Linked DNA regions of Medicago truncatula. Each later gene encodes a partner of the first gene's protein in a complex. Links are inferred from orthologs where the notes say so. Each region holds a gene or a part of one and is shown in the gene's direction. Other genes may lie near its edges.

Region 1 (7,121 bases):
TGGTTGTCGAACAGGTCATTAATTTTATCAACGGGAAGTGCATATCTGTACTTTGGCTACCTAATTCCATCTTTTCCCATTGTTTTTGTATGCAACGCTCTAAAATTGTACACTACCAGTTGATTGGAAATATGTGAGATTTAAGCAAAAACAAAAGCTTGTAAAAAAAAAAACCTGGATAAGGTGGGGTTATTTGGGTTTCTTAAGGATGCATAAGAGGTAACATACGTTGATTAGAGGGATGAGATAAACTACAATATGAAATTCAATTTTTTAGATTTGAATTTTAATTTGAGCGGTGTAACACCCTAATTCTATTAAAGCAATTAAACATGCGAATAATTCATATATTCAAGAAATGGATGCTACTTCACCAAATCAAAGAAAAACAAAATCGAATCAACGGTTGACATGCATGTATATAAAACCTCATCAGTCGCAGCGGATACAAAATCATATACATCAAGCATACATGTCACATGATCTCAAAAATGCATAAGCATGAAATCTCCAAGTCCGACACATGGACAAAATCTCAAAATATAAAAATAATCCAAAAAGATCTAGAGCTAACAACAAAACCCTATATCAGAGTCAACTCTACTCTAAGACCTGATAGCGGAGAAAGCTCCCACTATCCACCAATATCAGGAACTCACCAAGCTACTAGTCCTGCACAACGTCTACTCACCCATACAGACAAGTAGGCGGTTAAAACCACTGGGGTGAGTATTACATCAACATAATCAATAATACAGATAAGCAGGAATAACATAATCCAATATCATGTAATGAATCAAAATAGATAAATTCCATACATACATTATCACCGCAATCCAAGTTTCACCGACATATATTCAACGAACACATCATCATCAATAATCATCATTCACAATTCCACCAATTCCATGAGTTCATCAATTCACATGATTAATCATAACATGACATAACAATCCATTAAATACGAACATCACCATCAATCACGTACAACCACAAGTACATCAAGTAATTCACAACTAGGACTCATGTCACCTCATGATATGATCATAGACACAACACCTATATACATGCGGTATCGGTCATCACCAATATTTTAGGTCGTCGTCCATCATCACCAAAATCATCACCAATTGGATATATATATATATATATATAAACATATCCGTCATCACCAAATATGCATGCATGAACATATGACTCGATAATAATGCATATGTCCACACAACAACTCACCAAATCATCACCAATATTTATTTGCATTTATGCAATCACACCAATAATTCATCACCAATACATAATCAATACCATATCATCTCATCATTACAATATTTCTCATATATCAAGTAACAGAACATACAACACCTCATGTTATTATCATATCTAACATATCATAATTCATCCATACATCTCCATTTTCAAAGTATAACCAAGTAAAGTTCAAAGGAACTAATCTCATCCATTCCCGGAAATTCAATAATCATTAAACAACATTAATCTCATTCCATTTCTTAAGAAAAATCACATTCCGGAAAAATCGGCATTCTAAGTAATTTTCCAAATTAAGTCCCAATTTCACAAACCAAGTTTCAAATACTCTAAAACCCTTAATTGAACTTATAATAAACATACTTTGAAGTTTGGAAGCCATCCATAAGGTTTGGGTTGACTTAGAAACAATTGTGCGGAATTTTCGTAAAGTTTTATCAAAACCTCCTTAGAGTATTTTCTTCATAACTCAAAAACAACACATTATTTTCAAGTCAAACCAAGGCCTATGGAATGCCAACTCAATTGTCTAAAACTTTCATGTTAAAGTCAAAAGCCAAAACAAAACGGAAACGAGTGAAAACGACGCAAAACGCGAAAACATGGGATGCTGGAACTGGGCAATTTCGCCTGGCGGAAAGATTGCTCGCCATGGCGAGTGAAGGCAGTAGCTGCTCGCCACTAGCTCGCCTGGCGGAAGTGCACAGTTCAGAAAAATTCAGTTTTACGGGAAAAATTCATTTTCACCCTAAAATCCCAATTTTCGACTTCCCATTACCCAAATTCGATTCCAAAGTGTATCCAAACGTTTCTCAACATGAAAAGACACTCAATTACATATAACTACTTGAATCAAACATCATTTTAAACAAAATCACCATTTGACCCATTTTTGCAAAACAACCAACAACATCTTATTTCTTACCAACAATCATGATATATGAACACCCAAGCCATAATCATAAACAACAACATGTCTCAGCAACAACAACATCAATTAAAACTTGATTCTCACCTCAATTCCACAACAACATGTCATAATTCATCAATTAAGCATAATTTCACAACTACCCATTTTCATACATTATGAACATGTTATTTCATCACCAACAATTCATTTATCAATCAATTAACATACTCAAACTTATCACCAAAACAAGAGCACGAAATTCAAAGATTGGGTTCATATAAATTCTCACTCAATTAAGCACTTTTTCATACAAACCAAGAAAATTGCAAACAAAACAATCATGATTATGATGAAGACTAACCCCCTTACCTTAGGTAATGATTAATCCAAACTTGGGCTTCATTTTAGCTCCTAATTCTTCAATCTTCAAGTTTCCCCCTTTCTCTAACCCTTGTTCTTCCTTTCTCCCACTTTCTCTCTCTAACTTTGTGAAATGAAATGAATGAATGAATTTCTCTCCAAGTTTTAGGTCTAGGTATGCTCTATCTCAATTGGGCTCAAATCTAGACCCTAATGGGCTTAACCCATTCTAACATAATTCTAAAAAGTTTCTATACACTCAACGATAATTACTAACAACGGTAAAATATAACCAACGGTCACTAAACGGTAAAAACTAATCACTACACTAGTAACTTAGTAAAATAATGGTTCTCACTAAACATTAAAAATAATTCTCACCAAAATGACCATTTTACCCTTACCCGCAAAATGGCCAAGATACCCTTCTAATACGTTAATCCATGAAAATGCACCCAATGCCAATTAAATACACACAAGCACAAATAATCACATAATAATTAATTAAAAATAAATCTAGCGAAAAATCGGGCTGTTACAAGCGGATCTGAAGATGGAGTTTTGGTATTTGGGTGGAAGCATAAGAGAGATAAGCGAACCTGGAGATGAACGAATCTGAGGATGCATAAGAAATATGTGGTATTTGATGTTTTTTTGGGTATGAGTTTTATTATATAGGTTGAAGATAAAAACAATGAAGAATCTTAAAAAAAAAAAACTAAAGGAAGAAGATGAATATTTTTGGGTTATTGGTTTTGTTTTTGTTTTAATTTATGAAATATTTTAATTATTTTCTAATTAATAAAATTTGATTTGATGATATGTTAATGTCATTTTCCATGGTAGAAATGCCACCTAAGTGTAGAAATGCCACCTAAGTGCTTTTTTGGCCACATCATTAAAAACATGACACATCAGCGTTTTTGAAGGCTAATTTGGGGGTTAGGACTAAAATTACAAAAAATGTGATAATATAGAAACTGCTTTGCTCGATTTGAAAAGGCAGGACCAGTTTCGCGAGTTGGTCAAAATGCGAGGACTAAAAGTGCTATTAAACCAACATATTATAACATGATATATGATGACTAAATATAGCAAGTGCACCAAACCGTATTCATCAAGTATATTTCTAACATTTATTTCCAACAATTTACTTCGAGAGGGCAACCATTGCGCATATTTCTTGGTCATGCTTGGACGCTCTTTAAGATCAGGTGTGACTTTTTGGCAGACCCCGCATCAGAGTTGAAGTCAGTGTTGAGTTGAGGCTTGATGCCCCATGCTGAGCCCGATTTTTATGGTTTTTTCTTTTCTACTTTTTCTTTTGTCATGCTAAAAAAAATTATTTTCAAGTAATGAAGTGATAAGTAAGATCGGAGACAAAACAAGAAATTTGAGAGGCCATAATAGCACATGCTTCAAAACTTTGGGCTTAATTTATTCGACAAACCAAACCCAATAAAAAATCAAGTATCGAGAAACATTGGCAAAAACACGGTGGTGGTGAAAAATAAGAAGAGGGTTCATTCGAATTCTAATTTCTATAGTAGAAGCGATTCTATTTCACGCAACGGAGGAGTGAGAAATCACAATCTCCACCAACGCAAACGAAAACACTCCAAAACCCTTCAACTCCGTTAGGTAAACTTCTCCGTCAAATTTCACTCTATTCGTTGATTTTTCTTCTCTTTAGTGCTTAGTTCTTATGAATTTTGTGGAAATTTTGAAGAAATTGTAATTTTCGTTGCTTATTTTTGAAATTTAGGGTTTATTAACCGATTTTGTTGCGTTTTTTTGTTGAATGTTGATGTGAAACAGTGATGGAGGGTGCTTTTGCAAGCGCTTCAGCGATTACAGACCAAAGACAGAAGATAGAGCAGTATAAACAAATTCTCTCTGCTGTCATTTCATCAAATGACATTCTTCATGCTAGGAAATTCATCGATCACAGTTAATAATTCTCTTTTTCCTCAACCTAGGGTTTTTTCATTTATTTTTTAATTTTAATATTTTTTTAGTCTTTTAGTAGGTTTTAAATATAATTTTAGTCCTTGCAATTGTAATGTTTTTTTGGTTTTGGTCCCTGACGTCTTATTGGGTCACATACCGTGACTTTATTGCGTCATGTTTGACGTCATAGACTAAGAACAACAAATTTTGAATTTGCAAGGACTAAACCTGACATCAACTTATTGGCCACGTGGCATGATTACCGGTTATGGCGTGACTTTATTCGGAAAAGACTAATCATATTTAAACCTATTTTCCTTAGGTTTTTTTTTTATATTAATATATGAGGTTGTTGAAAGTTTGAATTTTGTGTTTCAGTGTTATCGGATGATGTTCCTTTAGTAGTGTCGCGTCAGCTTCTACAGAGTTTTGCTGAAGAGTTGGGAAGGTTGGCACCTGAGACACAGAAAGAGATTGCTCATTACATACTTGCTCAGATTCAGCCTCGAGTTGTGTCGTTTGAAGAACAGGTTTAAATTTTGTCTATTCTGTTTTGCGGCTAAATGATTGTAATGTTTTGTTTTGGTAAATAGGAGAAGTTAACTTGAATGCTGCTTTCTTAACCATGGTAGGAAATATATAACAACGAGAGAGAAAAAAAAAAACTAAGATGAAACACAATTCAACATTAGGCGTAGATATCATATGATATAGACATAGGGATATAGCAGAATTTGAAAACTATGGGCCATGCGGTATGACACAGCCATAACTATAATACGACAAATAAATTAGATATAATATTAAAACTTACATCTTAAGAAAGCATGAAATTTTGTGAACGTGATAAACCGTTCCCATTTATTTTGTAGTTAAAATGGAAGTGACAAAATTGTAAAAGCCACTAACTGTTCTAAGTGTCAGAAGTTTGTTAAAAGAATGCATGTCCGGCTCTGATTTGGGTTATTGGTTAGCATGCACATGGATGCAATTTTGAAGCGCGTGTGCTTTCTTACATCTCAGTTTGATAATAGTTAATTGAGCAATTATTTTAACTTCATAGGTATTTATTACTTATTTGGGGGATTAAATTCTCCTATACAAATAATATGCTGGCTTTTTAGTCGATAGCTGCCTCTATAGCAGTGTTGCACATCAGCTCTCAGGCGACATGTGAAACTCTGTTGCATTGCATTTGAGTAGTGGCTGTAGCGTCCGCTACTACAATTAAGCTCACGTGAAAACCCGAATATCACCTTAACTTATTGCTGTCTGTTCAGTTTTATTTTTTAGAATTTTTGGTCATTTCACCCGAAAAGTTATTCTCTTTTGGATTTGAATATTGGTAACGATAAACTTTGATTATTAGTTATGACTTATGAATATACATTTAATTTTGCGTGTACTATTTATGAGCTTTTATATGTGTATGATACTGTGTTATAAATTTCTTGTACTGCATCTCTAAAGTCTAAGCTTTGACGTCAGTGTTATACCTTTACCCACCATATAACGGTAGCGTTGTTGGTGTCGGCTGCAATCCGCCATTGAATACATAGTATTTCCGACACTATTATCATGGTATTTGATAGGACGGTATAAATTGTGGAAAGGTGGAAGTGTGAAAGAAAATACAATTGCAAATTTTGTTGTATTCCGAGACTTCATCTAAAAAGTATTTTTGTTACTATGTCAAGCATTAGGGTTTTCTATGCGTAGAGATGTTGATTGAAAAAGTATTCAGATCTCTCATCACATTATGTATCTTCGTTTAAATCAATAATGGAATTCTTGTCTAAGTATGCATTTTTCCATGCTGATTGTCACTTGTTGTTTTGTTATAAGGTTTTGGTTATTAGAGAGAAATTGGCTGAGCTTTATGAATCTGAGGAGCAATGGTCAAAAGCTGCCCAGATGCTCAGTGGTATTGACCTAGATTCAGGAATGAGGTCTCAGAGTTTCCAACCATATTTACCTGTTTGCCTAAATTATTATAAATCTGCCAAAATTTGAAAATGTCTCTTTCTTATTATTAATTTTATTTTGATTTTTTTTATCAGGGTAATTGATGATACATTCAGGTTATCAAAGTGTGTTCAAATTGCTTGTTTATACCTTGAGGTATTTACTTTATTTTGTGCAAGGAAATCCATATTTGATTGATGTCGGTTCTTAGACCATATTGGGAGATATAACTTGCCACAATGTCTAAATTGAATCACGTATACTGGTTCCACATCTTTAATATGAATATAATTTTATATCTGAAATGGTAACTTTTCACATGTCACGTACAAAATTATTGGTTTTAATTTCAGAATCATAAAGGTTATTTGAAATAATATTTTTCGTATTTGCCAGGATGACGATGCTGTAAATGCTGAAGCTTTCATTAATAAAGCATCATTCTTGGTTAGCAATAGCCAGCATGAAGTATTGAATTTGAAGTACAAGGTTTGAAAATGACAGCTTCTGAAGGGTGACTGAAGTTAAATATGCATAAATGAACCTTATCTTGCCTGTTTATCCTTGTATTCTATTTTTTTTTTTTTCTTTCAGGTTTGCTATGCTAGGATCTTAGATCTGAAGAGGAAGTTCTTGGAAGCTGCCTTGCGATATTATGACATATCTCAAA
Region 2 (7,618 bases), on another chromosome or scaffold:
GTTTTAACCCTAATGTTCACACCTAATCTCCTATTTTCATGAACAATCCTAATGCTCTCTCCTAATCTTCTTATATATTAAAGTTAACAAGTAAGCCCTAATTTTAACCTAAACCCTGTTGCATAATTTTACTGTTTTAACCCTAATGTTCACACCTAATCTACTATTTTCATGAACAATATTCTTATATATTAAAGTTAACATGTAATCCCTAATTTAAACCTAAACCCTATTGCATAATTTTACTGTTTTAACCCTAATGTTCACACCTAATCTCCTATTTTCATGAACAATCCTAATGCTCTCTCCTAATCTTCTTATATATTAAAGTTAACAAGTAAGCCCTAATTTTAACCTAAACCCTATTGCATAATTTTACTGTTTTAACCCTAATGTTCACACCTAATCTCCTATTTTCATGAACAATCCTAATGCTCTCTCCTAATCTTCTTATATATTAAAGTTAACAAGTAAGCCCTAATTTTAACCTAAACCCTATTGCATAATTTTACTGTTTTAACCCTAATGTTCACACCTAATCTCCTATTTTCATGAACAATCCTAATGCTCTCTCCTAATCTTCTTATATATTAAAGTTAACATGTAAGCCCTAATTTTAACCTAAACCCTATTGCATAATTTTACTGTTTTAACCCTAATGTTCACACCTAATCTCCTATTTTCATGAACAATCCTAATGCTCTCTCCTAATCTTCTTATATATTAAAGTTAACAAGTAAGCCCTAATTTTAACCTAAACCCTATTGCATAATTTTACTGTTTTAACCCTAATGTTCACACCTAATCTCCTATTTTCATGAACAATCCTATTGCTCTCACCTAATCTTCGTATATATTAAAGGTAACCCGTAAGCCCTAATTTTAACCTAAATCCTATTGCATAATTTTACCGTTTTAACCCTAATGCTCTCACCTAATCTTATATTTTCATGAACAACCTAATGCTCACACCTAATCTCATATTTTCATGAGCCCCAATTTTAACCTAAACCCTGTTGCATAATTTTACCGTTTTAACCCTAATGCTCACACCTAATCTTATATTTTCATGAACAACCCTAATGCTACCTAATCTCATATTTTCATGAGCCCTAATTTTAACCTAAACCCTGTTGCATAATTTTACCGTTTTAACCCTAATGCTCACACCTAATCTTCTATTTTCATGAACAATGCTAATGCTCACACCTAATCTCCTATTATCATGAACAAAGCAAATCGGCATCGCTTTATTTCCCCTATTTCTTCAAAACAAATCGCCCTATTTCTTCAACAAAACAAATCGCCCTATTGGAATAAAAGGGTTTTGAAAGATTATAGCAACATTTTTTTTTGTTAATATTACACTTTTTATCCAAATTAGAACTGAACTCTCTTTGTTAAATATTTAACACAAAATGCACCTGAATTTCGCAATCTATATAAACAGGTGGAAGAAACATTTCAACAAACAGTTAAAGGGTATCATTTACGGTAAAAGCCAAATATTCGATAAAAGGAAAATTATTTAAATAAAACATTTTACATGTTGAGGTTAAGAATGAACTATTTTTAGGTACATAATATAACATTAACATATAATTTTTACAAAAGAATGAAGTAACATTTTTTCAAAAAAAAAAAAAGAAAAATATGAAGTAACATACCAATAATATAATATTGACATATAATTTTAACAAAAGAATGAAGTAATACACGATTGATAAAAATTAATATTTTTTTGGTGAATAAGCGTGGTGTCTGAGGTTCGAATTTCAACATCTGCATATATTTGGGACCACATATTTCATTCTCTTTGATATGCATTGAGATTTGTTTTTGTCTATTATATCTACAATGTATATGACCCGTGCGGCAGCACGGGTGGAAAGTCTAGTTTATCTTGAAATATGAAAAGTCAAATTTAATACACATACAAACAAAGGACAATTTAGTAATATTAACACACAAAATAGACACATTAATTGCCCTAACAATTTTTCTTAAGAAATGTGAAAAATGCAAAAAGTGCTTAGATATAGGGATGGAGGGAGTATGTTGATAGCATTTTTCAGCGTCAAAATATGTCAGCGTTGATTTGCACAATTTTTTTTTTTCGACAATAAAGTTTTCATAACTTAAAATTCAGCTAACCAATCCAAAAAGCCCAAACTAATATTTTCAAAAACTAGCCCAACCCAATTTCAAAATTAAAGAAACAATTTGGTTTACTGTTTCTCAAAAGTGATGTTGTATTGTACCCGTTTCACAATCCATTATTTTTCTACTCATTGTGATTTCACAAACCTTTGTATATGTGTTTGTCAAATATGCAATTTCTTCACAAATATCAATTTCTTCTTCAATTAAATTAATCAAAACATGATTCATCTCGCAAATCCAATTCAATCAAAATGTGATTCCTCTTTCAAACCCACTTTAGCATCTTCTTTCTTCACACTTTCAATACATGTTGTACCGTACAACTCTTCTCTTTCGTTTTTGTTGTTGTTTATGCATTGTGGATTTACAGACATATATATACATATATACATATATACATACATACATATATATATACACACACACACACACACACACAAACAATTTTATGTGTCGTTGTATTATATGTATCACGAAAAAAGAAGTAACATTTTACCATCCATCTATTTGCTGCGAAATATTTAGGTCAAGTAAAGTATTGCCTATTGTGATCAACTTAAACTTGGATGGAAGTTTGGGAAGTTGTCCCATTATTTATATTTATTTAAATAATTAAGAACCCAGAGTTAAGACAAGGTTGTAAAATTGTGTGGCATCGAACCCTTCAAGTTATTGTTAGCAAGAGTTAAATTAACTAAACTTCTTAACTTGGAACTCACGAGGGAGATAGTTCAATCGCAAATTCCCAAGATTAACACACAATATTTTCTCTCCCACCCCTAATCATTATCTTGCAAGAACAAACATTATTCGAAAAATCCAAGTCCTACATCGGATAGATAAGACTATTGAGAAGAGTTTATAAAGAGGAGGCAATCCTCACCTTACAAGCCGGTTTTGTAAGGATGAGTTAGACCCCGAATTTCAACATGATATTAGAGCTTGTCGAATTCAAGGGCCACCTACCTGTTCACACACCAAGCCCAAAGAGTGATGGACGTGAGAGTGGCGTGTTGGGAAAAACACAAGTCCCGCATAAGATAGATAAGACTCTTGATAAGACAAACATACTTAACAACTTAAAAGTTTAATTTTTAATTGGCCTTAACACCCTTGTGAAACACGTGTATTAGTTGTCAAAGAAAATTGTTGTTCAAAGAGATATTATTTAAGAAAGTGAGAGCGAACAATGAATGTGGAATCAAACTAAATAACATATTTGAATAAAACTACAATATCAAACAAATAAGTACAATTGAACGGATATGAAATTTGATTCGTGAGACAGATGTTGTTTGTTAACCCACTCCTGAGACAAGAACTTCATAAATTATATAACATCATGTGTACTTGTAAACCGCTTATCTCCTTATTAGTTATTGAGTTGTAAATACGTTACTTTATAATTCTCAAGAGACAAGGGAAATGTTCCACTCAAGTTGTTGTGAAAAAGAACAACCGTGTGCAGACACAAAATCGTTCGAACATTTTTTATGTTAATGAACATATGAGATTTGTAGCTTCGAAATCAAGGGCATGCAACAACGAGGAGTCTTGTAATTCCGTAGAAAATATTCATGGTAAGATATTCACGTATTGCAAGATTAAGGGTTCTCAAATCAAACACGACATCAAAGCAACCCTTTGAGACTGAGGTGAAGTTATTGTGACCAAAGTTCACAATTTGGTGCCAAAATTGATATTGATTTTAATCTTTATAAAGATGAAAACGCAATCATTCGCTCTGATAATTATCACAGGTTATATAACTTCGACAAAACATAAGCTATAAATGTAGCTTCGTCAACAAAGATGTATCAGTTCGAAAAACAATCCGCAATAAATTATCAAGTACATGCAAAACAATTAATATCACACTTTTAAATTAGTATTGTAACAATATTTTAGTACCAAATTGAACTTTAAAATTATCTCTTTGCAATTTTTATTTTCATTTTAAGTATCGTAATATTATATAACAATTACCTCCGCATCGTTGCATGTAACCAAAAATTAATTATATCAAAATCAATTTTATCAAAGTCAATTATGTCAAAATCAATTATGATCACATTAGAAACAAACACACACCCTTCTCTGAAAGAAAACTAATCATCGAGTCCAGAGTTTCTACCAAAATTTTCATTGTTTCGACGATATTAAATATTCTTTTTTTAGTTTCTTATACGTTCCCTCCATAAAATTAACCCTACTTTCAACCGGTCCTCGACTCCTCGTGAATACTCTTCTCGGTTGATATTATTTCTCTCATGATAAATTCCAACTCCTTTCGTATAGACTCAATGTGACACGGTCAACTAAGTTAGTCATTTTGAGACGGAGGAAGTAGTATATAAACGGGTCTTTCACATCACTACGAGAGTGCTTTCACCATCACTCAACACAAACCTCTCCTCTCACCGCTCAAAATCTCTTTCAACGTGTTCTTAAATTCCTCCACCGAAACCCAAAATCTCTTTCAATGCGTTCTTAAATTCCTCCACCGAAACCCTAAACCTAAAACCCTTTCAATTTCCCCCTAATCGAATCGATCTTCCCATCGAAAACCCTAATTCCTTGATCATTCTCGACCATGGACATTGAACAGAGACAATCGGAACTCATCGATCAATTCGTCAAGCAGGCCTCTGCTGCTTCCAACACTTCCGCTATCTCTTCCGTCATTGTCGATGCTACTTCTCACCCTTTGCTCTTCGCTTTCTCTGAGATTCTCGCTCTCCCCAATGTTCTTCAGGTTCCCCCTTTTTTCTGATTTTTTGTTGTTGTGATTTTTCGATTGTTTTGTTCATCTATGTGAGTGTTAGTTGATTGCAAAACGAGATGTAAATTTTTTTTTTCCTTTCGTTTTTCTTTTTTTTTTTAATCATAAATTGTTCCATGTTGTTTGCGTTCATTGTGATTATTGTGAATGAGTTAGTGTTTTTAGGTGGATTATTTTGCTAAGTTGTTTATGTTTCGAAATAAATTATGGGGTGATAAGAACTCATGAAGTACAGACACGAACACTGACACGTCTGAAAGATACCTTGACATCAATAAAATTTTGAGAAAATGACATAATTCAACAATCCCCTATGTTGTTGTCCCAGTATTGAAAAATTGCTAATAAATATGCGATTAGTTTCGATATGTCTGCCATAACTTTTTTGAATCTGGTTTTTGCAGCTTGAAGCAACTGATGAAAAATTCTACCTTGATCTGCTTCGCCTGTTTGCACATGGAATATGGAGTGACTACAAGAGTAAGTAGATTGATTGATCTTTCTGTTTATCTTAATCTCCTTGCATTTTTGTCTGGTGGGTGTTCTGTGGTCTTTGTTGAATTTTTTCCTTTTCCGGTAGTTTGCTGTTACTTTAAACAAATGTTGTAGGAATTGTCCTTTAGTGTACCATGTAGGGGTGGGAATAGGCCAGGCCAGGCCAGGCTTTGATAGGCCTGAACCTGGCCTACGAAAAAATTTACAAGCCTAAGCCTAGCCTGTGGCCTATTATAAGCCGTTTTTCTTGGCCTGGCCTGACCTATTTAAAAGCCTGGACTGGCCTGAAAGCCTATTTACAGGCCTACTTCATATTAAGGTCATCAAATAGTTCATTTGGCCTACTAAATAAACTAAACATGCCTTAAAGCCTACTTAAAAGCCTATTTAACAACAAGTAAATTTTAACTGGATTAAAGCCTACTTAAAAGCCTATAACAACAAAGCCTATTTAGGGACTAATAGATAGAGAAAAAGATGTTTATATTTTTAATGTATGCAATTATTTTAATATAAAAAATAATTTTTAATAAATACGTATTAATAGGCCGGCCTATTAGACTTAACAGGCTTTTCTGGAAGTCTAAGCCTGACCTATTTAACTAAACAGGCTTTTTAAAAAGCCTAAGCCTAGCCTATCTACTAAACAGGCCAGGCTAGGCCAGGCCGTAGGCCCCTGTAGGCCAACCTGGCCTATTCCCAACCCTAGTACCATGACAATGGTTGGTGATTTGTGATTTTTGAGTTTATTCTTAATTTGATTCCCGGATATTTATGTCACGAGATAGTAAGTTGTTACTTTTGTAAAGATTGCCATAACAGATGATGTATAATTAACAAGTAATTAGTTATTTCGTAAAAAAGTTTGGTTCTGTACACGTGGACTTTATGTCATGAGATAGTAAGTTGTTACTTTGTAATGATTGCAAAAAGTTATGGTTACTATGTCGGACATACTGTACATGTGGACTTCTATATGCATGCTCAATGTATGTAAGATCGGGAATCACTACATAGGATCGTGTGATCTTGCGTTTCAATGTGAGTGGGACCGGGGAAATGCCGTAAGACCGTTGCAAAATTTCCCCCAATATGGGCCGGGTTTTAGCAAAACCCCATCTTCTTTAATTGTAATGGATCCGGGTCAGTTTTTGGTAAAACTCAGGTTTTCAATGGTGAAAAAAGGGAGAAATAGAAACGTTTTCTTTTTCTTGCTCGCGCAAGTCCTCTGTTGTGAGGGATAACATCAAAACCTCTTCCTTCTCCCATTCTCTCGCCTTCCGCCACCTCTGAAAACCTCTTCCCTTCATTCCCTTGTTTTTGTGAATTGGGTGTGGTTCCTCTATTTCTTGCTGAGTTGGGTGTGGTTCCTCTGTTTGTTGTCACCTGTTCCCTTGTGTTAATGATTTCATTTTGTTAGGAGCCAATTTTAAACTTAGTTATTTATTAAGTTATGAACTTATGGTTACAAGTCTGTGGAAGGACGGGCATCTTTTCTTAATTTAATATAATTTTTAATTTTATGTACGTGTGTGTGTATCTTTTTCCCCTATTAGTAGGATCTTATGATCCGTTCTACGTTCTTTCAACCCCCTCTCGATCTTGTTCAAACTCTCAATTTTGAAAACACTGTGCATGCCAGCATAGGAGCATATTTTACATTTTGGGATTGCTTAATAATGCGTCGGACTATTTTGAACCTCGCCACACGTGTCTTGAGATGAAAGAATTCACTCCACTTTATTTTCTGCTTTGTAAATACCAGCAGTGAGATTTGTATATTAATCTTCATTCATGATTTTCTATTTTTTCGTTGCGTCTGTTTTTTAAATCTTTTATCATTTACGTGTAAATGGAAATAATATAATGGCGTTCATTAAAACGTTCGAGTGACTTATAGGTAATGCTGATCGCCTTCCACAATTGGTACCTGATCAGATCCTCAAGCTTAAGCAACTTACAGTTCTGACACTCGCTGAGACCTACAAGGTATTTCCTATCAGTCCAAAGTTATAGGAACATATTTAAGGGTTGTTTAAGGGTTTGGTTTTCTGTTATTTGGAACATTTTTTCTCCTCCCTAGTTTTCTATCATCAAATGTCTTTTTTTTTTTCTTCTTCTTTCCATCAAAGGTGGATAAGAAAACCAAATCTTCCCTTGAATATATTTTTTGATTTT
Region 3 (7,534 bases), on another chromosome or scaffold:
CTTTTCACAGCCCCACTATTTGCCTCAATATATATAACATCCCTGACAGCTACCTGTATCAAAGCTGTAGAATGTTTGACACCAATATTTGTATAGATTTAAAATGACCTTTGAAAAAGAGAAAAGAATAACCTTTTCCTTGATCAAGGCATCATATATGGTGGGGTCCAACTTTAGTTGCTTGGTTCCTTTGACTGTCTTCAATCCAATTATCACATGGCTGATACTTTTACCATAATCTTCAGTTATACTCTCAGTTTCTTCAGGAGAGAGCTCGGTGACCTCGCCTTCATATACTTCCTTATTTTCCTTAATACGAAGACCGATAGCACGTCGAAAATTTTCCATAAGAACCCCGTTGAGTATACTTCGGAACCAACCATTGGGCAGAATGGAACCTTGGTCCCAAGCTCCTGACATATCCCAAGTGCTAATGCAGTCTTTCCGGTTCCCGGGGGCCCAGCGAGAAGGAGTGCCTTGCCAGCCATCTTCTTCTGGCGTATCATGTCGACCACAAGGCCACACGCTTCTCTTGCCTCAGCTTGTCCCACAAACCCAGAAGCAAAAGGCAATGCTTTTCCACTCACCTGAACAATGACCAAACCTTTGAGCATAGCAAGAAATAAGCAAAAGGGTATGGCTTCACACACAACAAACACAAAACGGAGAAAATAACTTATTAAATTGAGGAAGAGAAGAGAACGAACCTCAAGACCTAGGCCTTTAATGTGAGTGTGAGTAGCAACACGCTGTTTCTTTGTTGTCGACTGAACCTCTTCAATTTTCATCTTTGTAGTCAATCTTGGATAGCGGGATAGCCGTATGACAAATAGCGGTCACTGATATTTGATTATTTTTTTAACAAATTACATTAAACAAACTTGTATATAATTTTGACATGCATGGGGAGAGAGATTGAAGGGAGAAGAACATGACACAGATTGAGAATGAGAAGCAAAGCGGCAGCAATGTATATGAGGAAGAGGAAATGAAATAAGGCTAGGGTTTGAGTGTATATCACTTACAAATTGGACTAGGTATAATCCGAAAATGTCGTATAAAAAAGAGGGAAAAAAGGTGGACACACAACCAAAAATTATGTGCAGAAAGTGGCTAGGGTCCTATGTTTTAAGACTTCATAAAAATTGAGTGGGAGGTAGAAGTCAGTTTCTAGCATAATTAGCATGAAATGTAACAAAACTATGAATGCAATTAGAATCGGGGGACAATTCAACGTGAATATGCTTTTGATTAAAAAATAGGTCGGACGAACCTATTTTTTTTGTCCCTCTATTGCACAAAGTAATTCAAAATTTCATAGGATAGTTTGCCTATGATGGAAAATATTTAGGACTAAAACTTGATAAAAAATTTAGAGGAAATAAAAAGCAAAATTTGAAAATTGTATAAGGACAAAAAACTTATTTAACCCTAAATTAGAAAAGGTAAAAAGAAAAGGAAGGAATGTATGTCTCATGGTAAGTCCCAAATGGTAAAGGCGACGACGCCGCTCCACAAGGCAATAAAATATGAGACAACTCCAATGGAGATGCCACCAGTTACGATGGTGACATCAACACCAGATGCATTTGTTTATGACGATTACATGAGAATTATGCAAACAAGAAATACTTGCGTACAAAACGAATAATAACATGACAATCATTAACTTTTTAATAAAAATGTAAAATTAATATAATGAAAATCGGTTCTAATCTTATTTCTCTTGGTCACTTTGATAAAATCATTGTTTGCAATCAAGTCATGCGCTGACTACCAAACAACCCTTCTATCAACCCCCCTGGGAATCAATAGAGTTTGATTGAACGATAATTTCGTAGGCAGAGCATAACTTGATGTGCAAACAATAATATTTTTTCAACGGTAAAGAGAAAAATAAGGAGAACCGATTTCATTATCTTAACTTTACATTTTTATTAAAAAAATAATTAATGACTATATGTTATTTTTCATTAGTTATAAAACCATAACATGTTCGTTTGTACACAAGTATCTCTCTCAATAACTTAGTACTAAGATGCATTGAAAATCTCTCGTCACTATTTATATATCCAAATTTCGTAAAATAAAAAATACATAGTTGCAAAGATATATTACAAGTTTTTGCTTTGCGAATAAGAATTGACATTCTCATTGATCATGAAAATCTCTAAAGTCTGAGATGTGAATTTTCTTCTATAATTATCACCACAAAAACAATTTGTAAATCACAACACTCAATTTTAAAAATTATTAAATTCTAAAAACAAAAAAAAATTGTAAACTAAATTAATGCAATAGCTCTCAATTATAATGAAATTTCTGCTCATAGCTTGAAACAAAAGACAAAGTATCACAAAGCAAATATAACAGAGACACTTGTATATTACACATAACAGAGACGCATCGATACCAGGGGTGGACCCAGACATTCTACATTGTTGTGGCTAAAATTTCATGATGCAGATTATACTAACAACAAGAATTAACATTGTTTGATGCAATACAATTACAATAAAAATCGTCTACTATCCATTTGTTGAAAATGAGCTAAATGAGCTAAAATAACATCAATGCTAATTGTGAAAAGAACATTTTTTCTATATAAGTTATAACTTATAAGACGGTCATTTAGCCACAATTGTACACAGAAGTCACAATGCTCAATAAGCAATTATCATGTACAAGCAATTTTTCCAAACTCTATAACAATGAACTTAATTCTTTTTTTTGAACAAATTATATTATTAATAAAAAAAAAAACATATGGCATTTGGCGGTAGCAAAAAAGCTATGGCATATTTCCATGCATTCAGAAAAGCTATTAACGATTCTCAATCTCCAATTCTAAAACCCTAAAAAGTTTCTCAATTCTCAATTCTAAAACCCTAAAACAAGACATTGGTGAAGGAATGAGAAACTAGAGAATCAATTGGATTACCTTGACGTAGAGTGAGTGAGAACTGCGAGAGAGATGGTTGGTTTGAAGGTGATGCTGAGAGTGGAGAAGAGAGAGGCCTTGACGGGGTTTGTTTCTTGTTGTGAGAGAGAAGAAATAAAATTGATGTGTGTTGTGTTCTGGGTTCTCAGCGTATACACGGTGGGCACTTGGCTGTATACGGTGGGTCCGTTCCTGATTTATACCAGTATAAATTGTTTTTTTTTTTGAGGGAGCAGTATAAATGTTAACAATGTGAACATTTAATAGCGTCATCGTGAGTTTAAGAGTTGACACAGACAACACAGGATAATATACGTGAGGTTTAAACCTCAGCGGAAAAAAAAAATCTTTAATAGTAAATTTTTTATCTGTGGCAAAAAAAAAAACCTATAATAGTAAGTTTTTATTAAAATATGTGTGATCAATGTATTCACATGCATTCACTTATTAATAAGATCCTAATTAAAAAAATTAAGTTCCTTGGGCTCTAGTGATAAAGAGCTTATTCGAAGAACGTACCCGGGAATATCGGGTTCGATTCCTAGGAGAACAATATTTGACCAATGCACATGCCTCTACGCATTAGCCGAATTAGTCGTCCACCTTTGGTGGGTTGGAAACCGGTGCGAAAACCAAAAAAAAAAAATCCTAATTAAAAAAGGAAAATGATATCTTGGCTCATAATACATAGATTTAAAGCCAAATGTCGAAACTTAATTTTGAAAATTGTGCATTTAATGTCTTTTTTTAATCCTTAACTTGTGCCCTTAGGGCATAAGTTAGTATGACCCAATAAAAATATACATTAGGACATACATTCTTTAGAAGGTTAAATATGTTTTTGATCCCTATAAATATCTCAATTTTTTTTTCGTTTTAATCCCTATAAGAAATTTCTTCAACTTTTAATCCTTATTTTTAAGTTAATTTTTGTATTTTTTAATGACATTTTGCATAAATGTGTAGGAAATTGTAAAAATCTTTCCAAAAAAAATTAGAATTTTTTAACAAAATATAAATCATATATGAAAAATGTTAATATCAACATTAAAAGATTATTTTGACTAACAAAAATATACGATCAAAAACTATTAAAAATTTTGATGCATTACTTGTTCTTTATTTCAGGAACCAAAATTACTAGTAATCGGTAAATTTCATACGTATCACACACTCTTTCATAAAAAAAAATATATATCACACATAATAAAAGAATAGGTTAAATTGCACTCTTCGCCTCCTAAGTTTTAAAATGTTGCGATTTTGGCTCACTATTAAAAAAATTGCAAAAGTGACCCATATTTAAGGAAATATAATCTTTTGACCCTTTAACATAGGGGAAATATGATCTTTTGACTCCTTATCTTTTAAAAAGTTACGATTATAACCCCTATCTTGGAACACACGATATCTTCTCAATAATTTTGGGACGAAAGGAGTCTAAAAATTGCCATTTTTTTATCTTTGTTTTGACAAAAAATATTGCTATTTTTTTAGAAAAATGCAGTATAACTTCAAAAATAAAAATCCTTTTCACACAGGCACACATAAACCAACACATATATAAAACCTCCCATCTTTCCTCCTTCAAAACCCACTCACTCGTTACTCGTCGAATCAACTCGACTCAGAACTCAGAACCCTAATCATCACCGCCATGGATCCTCTCGAACCATTGATCGCACAAATCCAAGGTCTATCAAGCTCCTCCGCCGACATCGCTCGTCTTCATACCATCTTGAAACACTCCGATGAAACTCTCCGTTCCGATTCATCTCGTCTCTATCCAATTCTTCAACTCATTGATCCTTCCATTCATTCTCTCGGTTTTCTCTATCTTCTGTACGTATCACAATAATCTTATTCTTTCTTATAATCGCTTTTTAATTACTAGATTTTAGCTTCTTTTTTTGTTATTGTTGATTGAATGTTTAAACCCCATTCCTGGACTCTTAAGCCAAATATTCACTTTTATTTTGATGTTATTTTTTTATTTGAATTTATTACCAATCTATGAAGTACACACTGGATACGACCCTGACACGTTGACATGGATTCGACACTGACTGTAAAAGTGACTTAATTGAATATAATTACATGCGTCAGTGGTGTCGGACACCAGACATGCCTTCCATCGGAAATGTCGGTGCTACATAGTTCTCAATTTCTATTACCTTCTAATATTGCCATGACCTGTTTGGATGAATAAACAACTGAATGTCATATATAACACCACACTATACTGATACGACATTGAAACATACGATTACATTCAATTATGTCATTTTCTCAAATTATTTTGGGTATCAAAGTGTTAGTATCGAGTCCGGTGTCTGTGCTTCGTAAGTAAGCAATCCTTACTTTGCCTTCATTTTTTTATAATAGCAGAATAGAATCTCTTTTTTAATATATCTATATATTCTTAGATTTTAGGTATTGTTGTTGTTGTTGATTTAATGTTAAAACCCTAGTTTCTGGACTCTATAGAGTTTTTTTTTTTAATATTCAGCAGGTTGTTATTATTTGTTTAGAATTTAGACCCAATTAGATTAGCTTCTAGCTATGAAGCCACTAACGTGTACACCTCAGACGACACTAACACGTCAACACCGGTGATAATTTGTGTAAATGGCATAATTGATTCTAATCACATGTGTTAGTGTTGGACACCAACATGTGTTGCACACCGGACACGCCTCCAATATAGCTTATGAAAACATCTTTTAGAATATACAAAAACAATTCAACTTTATTTTATCTTTTGCTATAAAAATAGCTTATGTAGCTTATGCTTAAGCGCTTATCATGATAAGCGCTAAGGCTAAGCTGCAAATATGTTGTTTATCCAAACAGGCCCTTAGTCCTAATTTTTATTGGCTTCTAGTAAATGGCATTGTTTAGATAAACATCTTAATTAAGCAATTATAACATAAAACTTGTCATATAAATGCTTATGTATGAGTTATTTCTATAAAATAAAGATAAATTGTTTCCATATAAGGTATATGTGGTTTTCATAAGCTTAGCTTATGGAAATAAGATGAAAACAGCTAGCTTATATACATGTCATTATTGTTGTTGGATTAAATGTTAAACCCTAGTTGATGGACTCTAGAACCAAATATTCACTTTTTTGCTTAGGTGGTAATTATTTCCTTTGAATTTAGTCCCAATTTGGATAAACAACTTAATTATGCGCTTATAGCTTAAACAGTTATCATATAAAAATGCTTATGTATTAGCTATTTCTTTTACAAAAAATAAGATAAAACCGAATTGCTTTTATATAAGGTATAAGCTGTTTTCATGAATTGTCTTGGAGAGCTTATGGAGTAAGTTGAAAATAGCTTATGCATATGTTATAAGTTGTTTTCATAAGCTCTTTGAAACAGTCTAACAAGTGGTTATGTCAATAGGTAAACTTAAATAAGTCAATCAAACAGACATTTAGTATATAAGATTTGGATCATCTTAAGTGAGTTGAGAGTAAAGTAAGAAAATGAGCGCTTGTTATTTTAACACACTCGTAATTTGTGTTGCATGTGCATGTAATATGTAAAATTAACAATTGAATTCTTCATCAATGGTTGATATAATTACCTCAGACTCTAAATTGCTCACTTTAAAGGAGTTACATACTAGAATACAAGTGTTTCTGAATTGAAATAATCTGTAGTCTTTTATTTGTGATAAAGTATTGATAATCTATGAATCACATTTCACTGATACGTAGACACTGATCATAATTTGAGAAAAAGAAAGTGATTCAATGTAACCATATGCATCGGTGTCGTGCTGGTGTCGGACACCGGACATACCTTCATTATGAAGAGTGCTACAACTATAACTTTATAGGAGTGAATAGAGAAGCTAATTAAGGAACTTTCTGAAAAATTGAGATGCAGGGTAAAATTTGAACTTAGATAGGAGAAAGAAAAAGTTTTTTATTTTATTTTTATAACTGTTGATATATTTTTTTTCAGAAGTGCTTGCATTCGAGTTTATCTGAACTGTTCCTTAAATCTTGTTCACGTGCCTGTTTTGTTTGTTATGGAATAGTGAATTTATTTTTTCTGTTTTTATTTAATTGGAGACATACATTTATGGTTACAGAGATGCATTCTCAGCTGCTTCAGTTTCAAATCAGCAGCAAGCTGAAGAGGCAGTTCCGATCATAGCAAGATTCATCAATGCTTGCAGTGTGGAGCAGATTCGGTTGGCGCCAGAAAAATGTACTTGCTTTGTGTTGAAATATTGGGATTTCAATATTGCATTATTGAGCTTGTTTACTATTTACCCACAGAATAATGTTTCACCATCTTACCATAACATATACACCCTCCGGTCACTAATATAAGCAAAAAATTACATTTTAGATTCATTCATTTAATGATGTACATGGTCTTTATTATAGACCACATACATCATTAAATGAATGAACCTAAAATGTAGTTTTTTTGCTTATATTAGTGACCGGAGGGTGTACAAGTTTTAAGAACAAACAACTTGATGTGGAAAGATGCTGAAATATGGATGGATTATTTGTGAAAAATATGTTGTGAGTTGTGACGTCATTTTATACTTATTTTCCGT

The links.
Region 2: the proteins of COP9 signalosome complex subunit 4 (region 1) and COP9 signalosome complex subunit 7 are in contact, whole or in part, in a cryo-EM structure (PDB 9IS6), measured with the Arabidopsis thaliana proteins. The link is inferred for Medicago truncatula from reciprocal best matches to the Arabidopsis thaliana genes COP8 and FUS5. Residues at the interface, in NP_199111.1 of Arabidopsis thaliana: Glu269, Arg270, Ile271, Arg273, Ser310, Lys313, Leu314, Tyr315, Thr316, Asn317, Ile318, Arg319, Glu322, Thr325, Leu326, Val357, His359, Gln373, Asp383; in NP_563645.1 of Arabidopsis thaliana: Met1, Lys108, Val124, Arg125, Glu128, Asp129, Ile132, Asn133, Met136, Tyr137, Lys144, Leu145, Asp146, Gln147, Leu148, Pro155.
Region 3: COP9 signalosome complex subunit 4 (region 1) and COP9 signalosome complex subunit 3 share a complex: the UniProt entries of both Arabidopsis thaliana proteins name them as parts of the CSN complex. The link is inferred for Medicago truncatula from reciprocal best matches to the Arabidopsis thaliana genes COP8 and COP13.

The regions. Positions count from the first base shown.
Region 1 is NC_053045.1:13,730,385-13,737,505, forward strand, and holds the start of COP9 signalosome complex subunit 4, read left to right. Parts: upstream 1-4,016; 5' UTR 4,017-4,177; intron 4,178-4,354; 5' UTR 4,355-4,356; coding exon 4,357-4,486; intron 4,487-4,864; coding exon 4,865-5,016; intron 5,017-6,331; coding exon 6,332-6,435; intron 6,436-6,546; coding exon 6,547-6,607; intron 6,608-6,847; coding exon 6,848-6,940; intron 6,941-7,045; coding exon 7,046-7,121. UniProt on the Arabidopsis thaliana protein: Component of the COP9 signalosome complex (CSN), a complex involved in various cellular and developmental processes such as photomorphogenesis and auxin and jasmonate responses.
Region 2 is NC_053048.1:38,135,502-38,143,119, forward strand, and holds the start of COP9 signalosome complex subunit 7, read left to right. Parts: upstream 1-4,528; 5' UTR 4,529-4,756; coding exon 4,757-4,918; intron 4,919-5,349; coding exon 5,350-5,425; intron 5,426-7,340; coding exon 7,341-7,429; intron 7,430-7,618. UniProt on the Arabidopsis thaliana protein: Component of the COP9 signalosome complex (CSN), a complex involved in various cellular and developmental processes such as photomorphogenesis and auxin and jasmonate responses.
Region 3 is NC_053047.1:8,387,582-8,395,115, reverse strand, and holds the start of COP9 signalosome complex subunit 3, read left to right. Parts: upstream 1-4,479; 5' UTR 4,480-4,598; coding exon 4,599-4,783; intron 4,784-7,054; coding exon 7,055-7,173; intron 7,174-7,534. UniProt on the Arabidopsis thaliana protein: Component of the COP9 signalosome complex (CSN), a complex involved in various cellular and developmental processes such as photomorphogenesis and auxin and jasmonate responses.